3 linked regions of the Drosophila melanogaster genome follow. The protein of the gene in region 2 interacts with the protein of the main gene of each other region in a biochemical or structural test. Each region holds a gene or a part of one and is shown on either strand. Other genes may lie near its edges.

Evidence for each region.
Region 1: the proteins of hpo (region 2) and Rassf form a complex in vitro, tested with the Drosophila melanogaster proteins (one study listed by BioGRID).
Region 3: of the proteins of hpo (region 2) and Rap1, one has a biochemical effect on the other in vitro, tested with the Drosophila melanogaster proteins (one study listed by BioGRID).

The regions. Positions count from the first base shown.
Region 1 is NT_033777.3:23,116,136-23,119,888, reverse strand, and holds the start of Rassf (Ras association family member), read left to right. Parts: upstream 1-1,957; 5' UTR 1,958-2,350; coding exon 2,351-2,390; intron 2,391-2,464; coding exon 2,465-2,559; intron 2,560-2,625; coding exon 2,626-2,808; intron 2,809-2,874; coding exon 2,875-3,063; intron 3,064-3,116; coding exon 3,117-3,753. Other genes in the region: CenB1A (centaurin beta 1A), read right to left, coding at 1,048-1,100.
Region 2 is NT_033778.4:19,495,167-19,498,919, forward strand, and holds the start of hpo (hippo), read right to left. Parts: upstream 1,691-3,753; 5' UTR 1,583-1,690; coding exon 295-1,582; intron 238-294; coding exon 1-237. Other genes in the region: CG15120 (uncharacterized protein), read left to right, coding at 2,636-2,900, 2,994-3,172. UniProt on the Drosophila melanogaster protein: Plays a key role in the Hippo/SWH (Sav/Wts/Hpo) signaling pathway, a signaling pathway that plays a pivotal role in organ size control and tumor suppression by restricting proliferation and promoting apoptosis.
Region 3 is NT_037436.4:1,860,184-1,863,936, reverse strand, and holds the start of Rap1 (Rap1 GTPase), read left to right. Parts: upstream 1-1,697; 5' UTR 1,698-1,876; exon of another isoform or gene 1,877-2,007; intron 2,008-2,120; exon of another isoform or gene 2,121-2,260; 5' UTR 2,261-2,725; coding exon 2,726-3,280; 3' UTR 3,281-3,753. Other genes in the region: HBS1, read left to right, coding at 1-904. UniProt on the Drosophila melanogaster protein: Ras proteins bind GDP/GTP and possess intrinsic GTPase activity. Plays a role in photoreceptor cell determination.

The sequences.
Region 1 (3,753 bases), on a different chromosome or scaffold from region 2:
CTGTGTCATCCATCGATTTGTCGGGCATTGCTTTTGTTTTAACTTTGTGTTTATTTTCTTGGACGTACTCGTTCCAGAGGCTAGCTACATGGTAATTTCGAATGGAGGTCTGTCTATTTCAGCAGTCAATTCATTCTGAGAGTGGCTTTGAAAAGTCGTATTCCGTGATAATATTGCTATCATACACAGTTTTCATTTTAAACTAATGGCTTTCGAAAGCTTCATATATCTTCAAATATGTGTTCGTCATTCAAACGATTGAGCCAAATGCACAATGAGTTGAAGTTTTTGATAAAAAATAAATCGTTTAATTCTACTTAAAACTGGAAACTAGTTTAAGCTAGTTTAAAAAAATGCATAACATTGATACATTTTACTATGGTTGCGATAATATCTGCCTAGTTCTGAAGCAATAGAAATGTCCTACTTTACAGATCCTTAGATTTCTTATTTTTTATATGCATGGCAGAAAAGTTCACATATGATTCACATAATTTATTGTAGTGTACTTCGGTTTCGAAACACCAAGGTCAAGTTGGCACTTCCACAAATGATAAAAGAACCGAAGTGCAGGAGAATCCAAGATAGTCTTGATTTCCTGTTTTCTTTCAAGTGAAGCTGCTGCAGGTGCGAAAAAGTGGGGAAGATGTGATGGGGCTGCTGGGCAAACAAGTTATCGCCGCGTTTGTGCACCGTTTTACGAGGGAAAGCTTTTGTCTTTGGACACGATTAGTGGAGAAGCGGCAATTTGGGTGAAATCTTATCAATCAGCGGCGGGCATTGAAGCGTTCGCGGACGGAGACGAGAGCATCGGCAATTTAATTGCGGAAATAAAGGGGCAGGCAGGCACATTCCACACTGCTGACGGGACAAAGTTTGTTCGATGGATGATTAAGCCGCGTTTTCAGGTGGAGCAGGTGGGGCGGTGTTGGGCTGTATCTGGTTTTGGATAGTAACCAGTCACGCTACATGGAGCAATTCGAATCTCACGCCAAATGCGGCTCAGGATGGGCACACAGTGGGGGCGGGGCTGCAGCTTATATGCACCTGAATCTGGGAGAATCCTTCAGGCACTCCTCGAACTCGATGGTGGCGCGCATTTTGGCCACCACGCAAGCAGCACCTAGACTGCACTGCTGGCTATTTCGCTACGCTAATTGAGGCCCGTGAATCTTTGTTGGCCTGTTGCTGCTGCTCTGCTTTGCTTTGCTTTCCTTGCTGAAGTGGGGATTTCGATGCGCGATTTTCGAGGGCGGCTCTGGGAGAAGCTAATTGCGGGCAGCAGGAGATATGGTGATTAGTCGCATCCTTGGCAATCGACGGCTACACACGTTGAGCACTGGCCCTAATTAGCGAAACTCGCCAATTTACGCGATTCGGGGCCGAATTTACCAAATTTACACAGCGCGCAGAGACAACAAATTAAAACGTCTCACTTTCTACTAGAGCAGATCGGTGTGCCCGCACTCGCAGCGAAAACAAATCTAGCAGCGCGAATGGTCACACACTTTGGCGGGCTTATTTGCTTTTGCTCATATCTTTTAAAATTTTAAATGTATTGAATGCTTAGTGTTTTCCTTGTGCTGATTTTCGTTTTAAAACTCGATTAGTTACGAAGATTTCAATTCAAAGGCATAAAACAACGCACATTGACATTGTCAGCACGGTTTATCAGTGTTGGAAACTTTTGTAGCTAAGAAGAAGCTAATTAGGAACTTAAATTCCCTAAAAGAAGATACAGCCCAAAAAAGATTTGGGTTCTAGCCATAATCAATGTAGATGTATTTAAAGTACAAACGATGACAATTTTAAACACCAAAACAAGCAAATCCGTTTCAAGCTACCGCCAGCCAAGTCAAATCTAGCTACAAAACAGATCAGCTGACAGCACCGCTGGATTTTAGGGTGCCCGCCTTGTGCGACAAGAATCCGCGGCCAGTGCTGCACAAGTGCCATTTTTCATTTCATTGTTCTGTTCTCTTTCTGCTGGTGCTGTTTTGGTTTAAGTGCAATTATCCACACAAGTACGCACCGAAAACCGATGCACCTGCACCGTGCACCAAGTGTGGGAGTGCCCAGTGCCAGTTTCATTTATAAAACTATGAGTTTCGCACGGCAACCAGCGCAGCTGACCGACTGACCGATCAGAGTCTCACGTCCCCCCTCGCCTCATGTGTTTACCCCTTGTCCAGCGTTCTATTTGCGTTTCGTGTCCGCTTTAAATCGCCTCATTTGCATACAACTCGACGGCTTTACGTCACAACTCTTTAAAATCGGCGAAGTAGAGGAGGAGGAGTGAAACACGCCCATTCCCGGAGGAAGCATTAGACCGACCTGTTTGGAATCCAGAATGTGGAAGTGCCACAAGTGCGGCAAACCCGTTTACTTCGGTAATGCACCCACACACGAGCGCATTGCGATCCGTAAATAACTTGTAAATTATATTTATTTATGCCCCGCACAGCGGAACGTAAACAATCGATCGGCTACGATTGGCATCCGGAATGTTTGCGCTGCGAGGAATGCGGCAAACGCTTAAATCCCGGCCAGCATGCTGAGGTAGGAGGATCACCTGTTAGTTAGCCGATCATGTGATCTATATAAAGCCTTTTGTTTTCCTTTCAGCACAAAAGTGTGCCCTACTGCCATGTGCCCTGCTATGGCGCCCTGTTTGGACCCCAGTTGTTTGGCCACGGCACCCGGGTGGAATCGCACAAAAGCTATGGGGTGAAGGGAGCCCAGAAGCCAACCGGAGCTCAGGCCAATGGCCCGCCACTCCCACGTGATCACCTGGAGTCCAAACTTAAGGTGCAGAACGCAATACCCAGACATATCAATATCTCATGACTCACCAAATTCCCTTTTAATGGGCAGGTCTACAACCAATTCTACGACAACAAAAGCCTGGAGATACGTAGTCGTGAGGTCAACAACCGGTTGGTGCTGGAAGGCGCGCTTAGAGTTTACTGGGGCGTGCAGGGAGTGATTCATCTCAAGGAGGACGATGATCAGCGCATCTTAGTGCGCAAAAGGAACTCTTGCCGTGTGTCCAAGGCTGCCAATGTAAGCTGAATCTATAACATAACAAAACGTTATTTATACAATTGTACCCACAGGAAAGCAGTTCGGATAAGGAAAACGAAGCTAGCGAATCGCTGGCTCCGCCCACCACCACCACAGCCGAGGTCGATCAACTATCCACGGATGTTTCCCTTTCCGAGAGCATGACCTTCGACTCCTGTAGCCTGAACGAGATCTCCGAGTTGCCCACAACCCCAGAAGATGCCTCGGCCAACACCACAGCCAACAGCAAAGAGCAGACCAATGGTAATGTGTGCAACGACGACGAGGATACGACCACGACGGACTCATCTGGAACCCTGGTGGAGGCTCCTACTGCCAGCACAAGTTGTGTGTCCAGCACATTGCCTTCGAAGTTGGACCGTCTGGAAAAACTGGATTGGGACGACATAGACGATCTGCTGCAGGTAGAGAGACGTCACAACGACAAGGATCGCATTTATGAAACTATGCCTGTCAAACTGCCGTCGTCGCAATCCTCCAGCGACAGTTCGCCCAGCAAAACATCCACAGAGACCACTACGACCACTGAATCAAGCTCGACTCAATCGGCATCAACAAACACCAGCAGCACGGATGATTTTATGACCGCCACGGGATCGTTGACTGCCAACACCAATACGCAGAATACAACAACGGTGTCTACTACTGAGACCTCTCTGGATAACTTCG
Region 2 (3,753 bases):
CCAGATGCTGTTCATCCTGCTGTTGTTGTTGCTGCTGCTGTTGTTGTTGTTGTTGCTGCTCCGCTGCTGCCGGAGAATACTCTGTGGCTATGGGTTTTTCATCGCCACGGCCATCTCCCGCATTTTTGCGATCGAAGTGCTCCAGGAACTGCGGCCTGTAGCGGTTTCGCGGCTTCTGGTCGTCGTTGTTTTTGGCCGTTGTGGAGTCGTCCGAATCGGAGTTGATTACCATAGTGCCTGAATAACAGACAATACAATAACAAATGGCCAGCCCTTTCAAAATCATTTACATACCCAAGTTCGACTCCAGCTCCACCATTGTGCCGCTGTCAACTGCCGGCATGTCCAGAGGAGATGCTGCCGAAGAGGCCGCTGCAGGAGCAGCTGCCTTGGACAGGTTCCTTAGTCCACCCGGCCCCAAAGTGCCCTCATCCACACCTTGCTCTGCATGCGCTATCATGGTGGCATCTGAGGCTGAGCTCTGTTGGTATTCACCGAACTTCTCCGGCACCAGAGTACCTGGATCCTCCATAAACGCGTTGTCCGTGATGTGTTGTTGCATTCCGTTTTCCTGGGTTGCCAAGCTCTTCGCCTGACTAGCAGCCAACACGCCCCCAAAACTGCGATTGGCGCGTTGCTGCTCGCGAATGGCACAGGTCTCCTCAAGCATAGGCTTTAGGATCGATCGGTGCTTGGCGTTGCGTATGAACTCGTGCTCCAGCAGTTCAGTGGCCGTTGCCCGGTCGTCTGGCTCCTTTACCAGGCACTTGCTCACGAAGTCAATGAACTCTGTGCTCCAGCGATCCGGTTCCCGGAACGATGGTGGTGGCTTCTGCGGAATCATAAAGATGGCTCGCATGGGATGGATCTCACCGTATGGGGGCTTTCCCTCGGCCATTTCCAAGGCGGTGATGCCCAATGACCATATGTCTGCCACACAGTCGTAGCCAATCTCCTCAATCACCTCGGGGGCCATCCAGAAGGGCGTTCCGATCACAGTGTTTCTCTTGGCCATTGTGTCCGTGAGCTGACCAGCGACTCCGAAATCGGCCAACTTAGCATAGCCTTCGGTATTGAGCAGGATGTTGGCCGCCTTGATGTCGCGATGGATCTTGCGACGCAGATGCAGATAGACCAAGCCCTGCAGAGTGTCCGACAGAATAGTGGCTATCTCGTCCTCCGTCAGCGTCTTTTTGCGCAGACGCATAATGTCGGAGACGCTGCCGGCGCCACAGTACTCCATGCAGATCCACAGGTCATACTGCTTGAAGTAGGAGCCGTAATAGCGCACCACATACGGCGAGTCGCATTGTTGCATAATGGATATCTCCTTAATAATCTCGTGCAGGTCGGACTCCACCGGCACCAGCTTGATGGCCACAATGGAGCTGCTTTCCTTGTGCACTGCCTTGTAGACTGATCCATAGCTGCCCTCGCCCAGCTTGTACATAATGTCGAAGACCTTTTCCGGCGGCTGCAGAAGCGACTCCTCCGACAGCTTCTTCAGCTTGAAGAAGGAGCAGGAGGAGGATATGTTGGGCGATTTCATATCTACAACGCTGGTCACCTCTGGCTCAGACATTGCGAAAAATTTTCTGATTTAGCACGAGAAAACACAGATAATTGGCTATTCACAGCGACATATCACACTTTTGTTCTTTATTCGCACTCGATCGCTAGCCAACACTAGTAGTTCTCAGTGCCCTCGGCACTTTGCAACACGCCACCCGCACAGAACAGGTGCGGCGTTGCCAGACAAACGCCGAACACCGCAGAATGTAAACAAAGCACCAGTGCTGCATAGCAGAATTAGCCATTTATCGATAAGTTCTCTTGGCGCGCTTTTTAAAACTTAATTTATTGGCTCAGAATTATAAGGTTAAAATTAAATTTACAACTCACGCATGCTTACCTCTTTTTTGAAATCTTTGCTTGATGATGGCATTTCTATGTTTTTCTCATGGCTATTGATTAGATTTATGACGATTTACTTTGTACTTTGATTAAAAAGATTTAGTAAATTCTGATTAACATATAATATTTATAATATTAAGTTGTTTAGGTAATTTGTTTCACTTTGAATACGTTTTAATATTTATTACTTCTGTATATAAAATTAAATTGCTTTTATGGATCGATTGTTGTTGTTCATCAAATAGAATAAAATGTTGGCATGATTGACATGAGCTGTGCCAATTTGTCGTTGTTAATCTGCGGTTGCGCCCCCAGAAAACCCAGATCCCCTTCATTCCGATGAGTTCGCTGACCTGAAATGCCCAATAAAAGTGCTTGGGAAATCTACATGCAGTCCGGGGACTTTGGTTAGTGCATAGTCGAATGATAATAACAACATAACTGGCGCCTATAAGGCTAACCGGCTTGTTATTGTAACAAATGCGACTGGAAGAGAGCACCGCAGCGAATGCGAGCAAGCGGCTTTAGCTCCAACTGCTGGCTTATCGGTCACTAAGCCGCCCCAGGCCTTAGCAACGTGCTCCATAGAAACGACACGACACCCAACAGCAACAGCAAAAGCAACGCCAACACCAGGAGTGCCAGCCTGGCTACAGAAATTCCTTCGCTCGGCAGTTCGCTGTTTACACTACGTGGCTGCACATCGTCGCATCAACCGGAAATGGCCATGGCCCAAACGGCACGCACCGCGACGGCAAGGCGTCCCACGCACGACTACCACAGGCCGACGCGCTCCAAGTCCGCCAATCCGGCGCAACTGCGTCCACTTAGCGGCATCCATGGAGCGGCGGTCTCGTCGCGTCCGCGCTACGTTCCACCCTTCTCCATTCAGTCGCAGCAAAAGAACACGGTCGTCATCGACGGACCCATCCACGAAACCGCCCCCAAGACAGCCAGTGCCAGGAGTCGGGTGCCCAATCCGAAAAGTGCGTTAGTTTGTTTATTTGGGTGTTTCGCCCATCGGTATTTGTTTCCCTAATGACATCCCTGCCCACATTTGCATTTGTACTGATTTTCAGTTCTGAGGCGCCAACAAAAGTCCATGTCCACCTTCAACTTGGGCATGGGTCTTAATGGCTGCTCCACCGGTGGGGCTAATGATCCGGGACGAGGAACCCTCTTCCGAATGTACTTTGACCGCGGCGACCTGCCCATAAAGATGGAGTACCTCTGCGGGGGCGACAAAATCGGATGGACGGTGAGTGGTGGGAATTATTTGGTAGGGCGCTAAATTCCATTAGGTTCGTTGTTAGTTGACTTATTAATTATACTATATATATGGTATTAAGTTATATTGTTCGAAATTTGGATAGGTCATACATTTAAACTTAATTCTTTTTAAGCCCTTACATTCGGGTAATGATTTATTTTTGTAACCATAGCTAGAATTTTCCATATGTCTGTTGGCAAACTTAAACTTCAACTATACAAATGTGAGTCAATGCAAATAAAAATCAAATGAAATTGCACGACTGTCACTAGAAAGGGGTAACCTTACCACTCGGTGACCCATAGACAAAGCCCATATTTGAATTTAGCTCGAGTTTCGTACACCTGCGTGTCCAATTATTTCAAGTGTTGCAGGTGAAAGCAAAAACCGAGTAAATAATATGCCATTGTCTATTTCCGGAGTTAGTAGAGCTCCACGGCTGACGGGCAAGCGATTCCGTCCGGAATGCGACTACTGACATTCAAAACGTCGCACCGTCCAACTGTCAGTCAATTTCCCATGGAACTCCGCTGCAATCGGAAAGTTATGTGTAACCAATTCCCACCCAC
Region 3 (3,753 bases), on a different chromosome or scaffold from region 2:
CGGACAGACTAGAGAGCACGCCATTCTAGTGCGATCCCTGGGGGTTAACCAGCTAGGCGTGGTCATCAACAAGCTGGACACCGTTGGCTGGTCCCAGGACCGATTCACAGAGATTGTGACCAAGCTAAAGTCCTTCCTCAAACTGGCGGGCTTCAAGGATTCCGATGTGAGTTTTACGCCCTGTTCCGGACTAACCGGCGAGAACCTCACCAAGAAAGCCCAGGAACCCGCCCTGACCAACTGGTACAGTGGACGCCACCTCCTCGATGTCATTGAGAACTTCAAGATCCCCGAAAGAGCCATCGACAGACCGCTGCGAATGTCCGTGTCGGACATTTACAAGGGCACTGGCTCCGGATTCTGCATCTCGGGACGAGTGGAAACCGGAGTGCTGTGCCTGAACGACAAGGTGCTGGTGGGTGCCAGCCGGGAGCAGGCCCAAGTGAAATCCCTTACCATGAACGAATTCCCACAGACTTGCGTGTTCGCCGGCGATCAGGTCTCCGTCACCCTGCCCGCCTTGGACATCAACAACGTCACCGTGGGCTGCATCATCAGCGATCCACAAACCCCTATTCCGGTGACAACGCGATTCCAGGCCCGCATAATCGTGTTCAACGTCAAGGTGCCCATTACCATGGGCTTCCCCGTGCTGCTGCACCACCAATCCCTAATAGAGCCCGCCGTGGTCTGCAAGCTGACCGCATCGATTCACAAGAGCACCGGCGAGGTGGTCAAGAAGAAGCCGCGTTGCCTGGGCAACAACTCGTGTGCCCTAGTGGAACTGGAAACCAGCAGACCCATCTGCATCGAGCGGTATGCGGACTTCAAGGAGCTGGGACGCGTGATGCTTCGCGTGGCGGGAGTCACCATTGCCGCCGGAATGGTCACCAAGATCCGCTAGGTCGATGACCGCGCTGGATTTTGTACGAAATTTTAGTTAGATATTAACTTTTGTTGATTTCCTAAATATACATAGTTTATATGAATTGATTAAATCGAAAAGACGCTGAAGCATTGGAAGAGATTTCGGTCTGACCATTTTAGCGGTATCTTAAAGTGGAGTGTGTTTTTCATGGAATTAATCACTTTAAGAAATTATTATATTTATTATCATTGAATTAATCATAAGGAATATAATTACAATTTATACATAAATTGCAATATCACGTTTTTGGAATATTATGACCCCTACAATAATATTCCAAAAACGTGATATTGCAATTTTTGTATAAATTGTAATTATTTTCCTTATGATAAATTCTATGATTCAAAACTGTATCTCGAAAATGTGAATATGCGGCTGACTAAAATTCTGAATGCGAATCATATTGCTGATTCATGAAACAATCAAGCATTAGAATTTTTTCTTAAACTATCGGCAACACAGCTTATATATTATTTGCAAATTATGCTTAAAAAATAAAATAGGAATACCATAAAATATCACTTACTGTAGAAAACAATTTCAATATGAAATCGTATTAACAAAATTAAAATTAAAAAAAAATATATAGGGAAAATAACAATTTAAATATTTCCAAAATTTGATGTGCTAATATAAATTTAAAAGAATCAAATATATTTCGAATATAAATTTTATAGTTTATTTTTAAAATTTACAGCAATGCTTTAAAAGTGTCATCGCTAAGCCATTGCGATAGTCGTGCGTAGCCCTCGGCCTGCGAGTGCCGATAGTGCCATCGATGCTTTGGCAGCCCTAGTCTTTGAGTGTTCGCTGTTCGCTGAGGGCGAAAAAGTAAAGAAATTACAAGGCAAACTAGTGTTAAATTAAAAGTGAAGCGATTCGCGAGCGGCGACAGGTGAAGCGGTCCCCAAGGAGCAAGCAGTTGGCGGCAGCGAGTGAAAAGCATAGGTAAAACTCCGCCCAGAGTTGCCCTGCCGCCCGACATGCGGGTGCATTTGCGTGGTTCAGTTGTTTAGTGGCCGTTCGGTAGGCCGATGTACGCACATGGGTGCCCAGTGTGCAATTTAAGTGCATTTTAAGTGAGAGAGCTGAGTGAAATTTAAGGGAATCTCCGGCTTGAGGCGTTGCAGTGGGGCGCTGCGTTCGGTGCGGCCGCCTGGCAACCCTGAAAATGAATCATTAGAGCGAGAACGAGAACGAGAGAGTTGTGAAGAAGAAAAGAGGGAGTGCAGTCAGTTCTCAGCATACCAAAAAACGCAAACCAAAAAGACTCGCAAAGAATTTAGCGTTTATTGTGTCTAAAAAGCGCCTTTCTTCTTACTCCCCCCACAGTGTGCTCTCGGTAGCAGTGACGGCCGTCTCGAGGAACAGTCAAGCCAGGATATTTCCGCTCAAAAAAGCAACAATTGAACGCACGCAACTCGGCGGAAGGAGCGAGCGAGAGAGGGAGCACAAACACCATCACACATTCACACACACTAACACACACACACTCACGCAGTCACTTACACGGCACAAAGGTTATCAACAGCAAAAGCAACAACAACAAACAATTTACTTTAAATATAAAACATATATTAACTAATAAGCAAGAGCAACAAAAAAAAACAAAAACAAAAAACAACTGCAACCGACAAGCAATCGCCGAACAACGCCTAAAAACAAGTGATTTTCGAGGGAGAGCCACCTGGAAAGTGAACCCACCTACCTGGCCTACCTGCATTTTGGGTCTCTTCCCTAGAATTTAGCACAAAACAAGAGATATACGAAGGATATACAAACAGCACAGCAGCCAGCATGCGTGAGTACAAAATCGTGGTCCTTGGAAGCGGCGGCGTGGGCAAATCCGCGCTGACAGTCCAGTTTGTCCAGTGCATCTTCGTGGAGAAGTACGATCCCACCATCGAGGACAGTTACAGGAAGCAGGTGGAGGTGGACGGACAGCAGTGCATGCTGGAGATCCTGGACACGGCGGGTACGGAGCAGTTCACGGCCATGCGGGATTTGTACATGAAGAACGGCCAGGGATTCGTGCTGGTCTACTCGATCACGGCGCAATCGACGTTTAACGATCTGCAGGACCTGCGCGAGCAGATACTCCGGGTGAAGGACACGGACGATGTGCCCATGGTGCTCGTGGGCAACAAGTGCGACCTCGAAGAGGAGCGCGTCGTCGGCAAGGAGCTGGGCAAGAACCTGGCCACCCAGTTCAACTGCGCCTTCATGGAGACCTCAGCCAAAGCCAAAGTGAATGTGAACGATATTTTCTACGACCTGGTCCGGCAGATCAACAAGAAGTCGCCCGAGAAGAAACAGAAGAAGCCGAAAAAGTCCCTATGTGTTCTGCTATAAGACTTCCAAAAACCACCAAAACTAAAAAAACAAAAAAAAAAATATATAACAGAGGAGGAGGAGAGAGGAGCAAAAGTATAAGCGTAAAGTAAAGAATTTTCAAATTTTTTTCGTTCTCGTTTCGTTTTGGATCCGATGGCAATTGTCGAATTGAAATAACCAATCTACTATATACAAGCAAAACTTAAACTGACAAATGTTTTTAACTGTTTCAAGTTTTTGTAATTATTACCATTTACTACTATTATGATTGTACTATTTTTCGCTGATTAACCATTAATTCATATGGGGAATTATTATATATATATATCTACATATTTAAATATATTTGTCGTTCGTTTTTGAGCCGTTTTTTAAATTATGCAACAAGTGAAACATTCGTAAACTAAAACATTCGTATTTATTGATTCTTTTCGATTGTACTCTACACATCTACAACTACAACTACTTATACACGCGAAAGCCCAACCAAC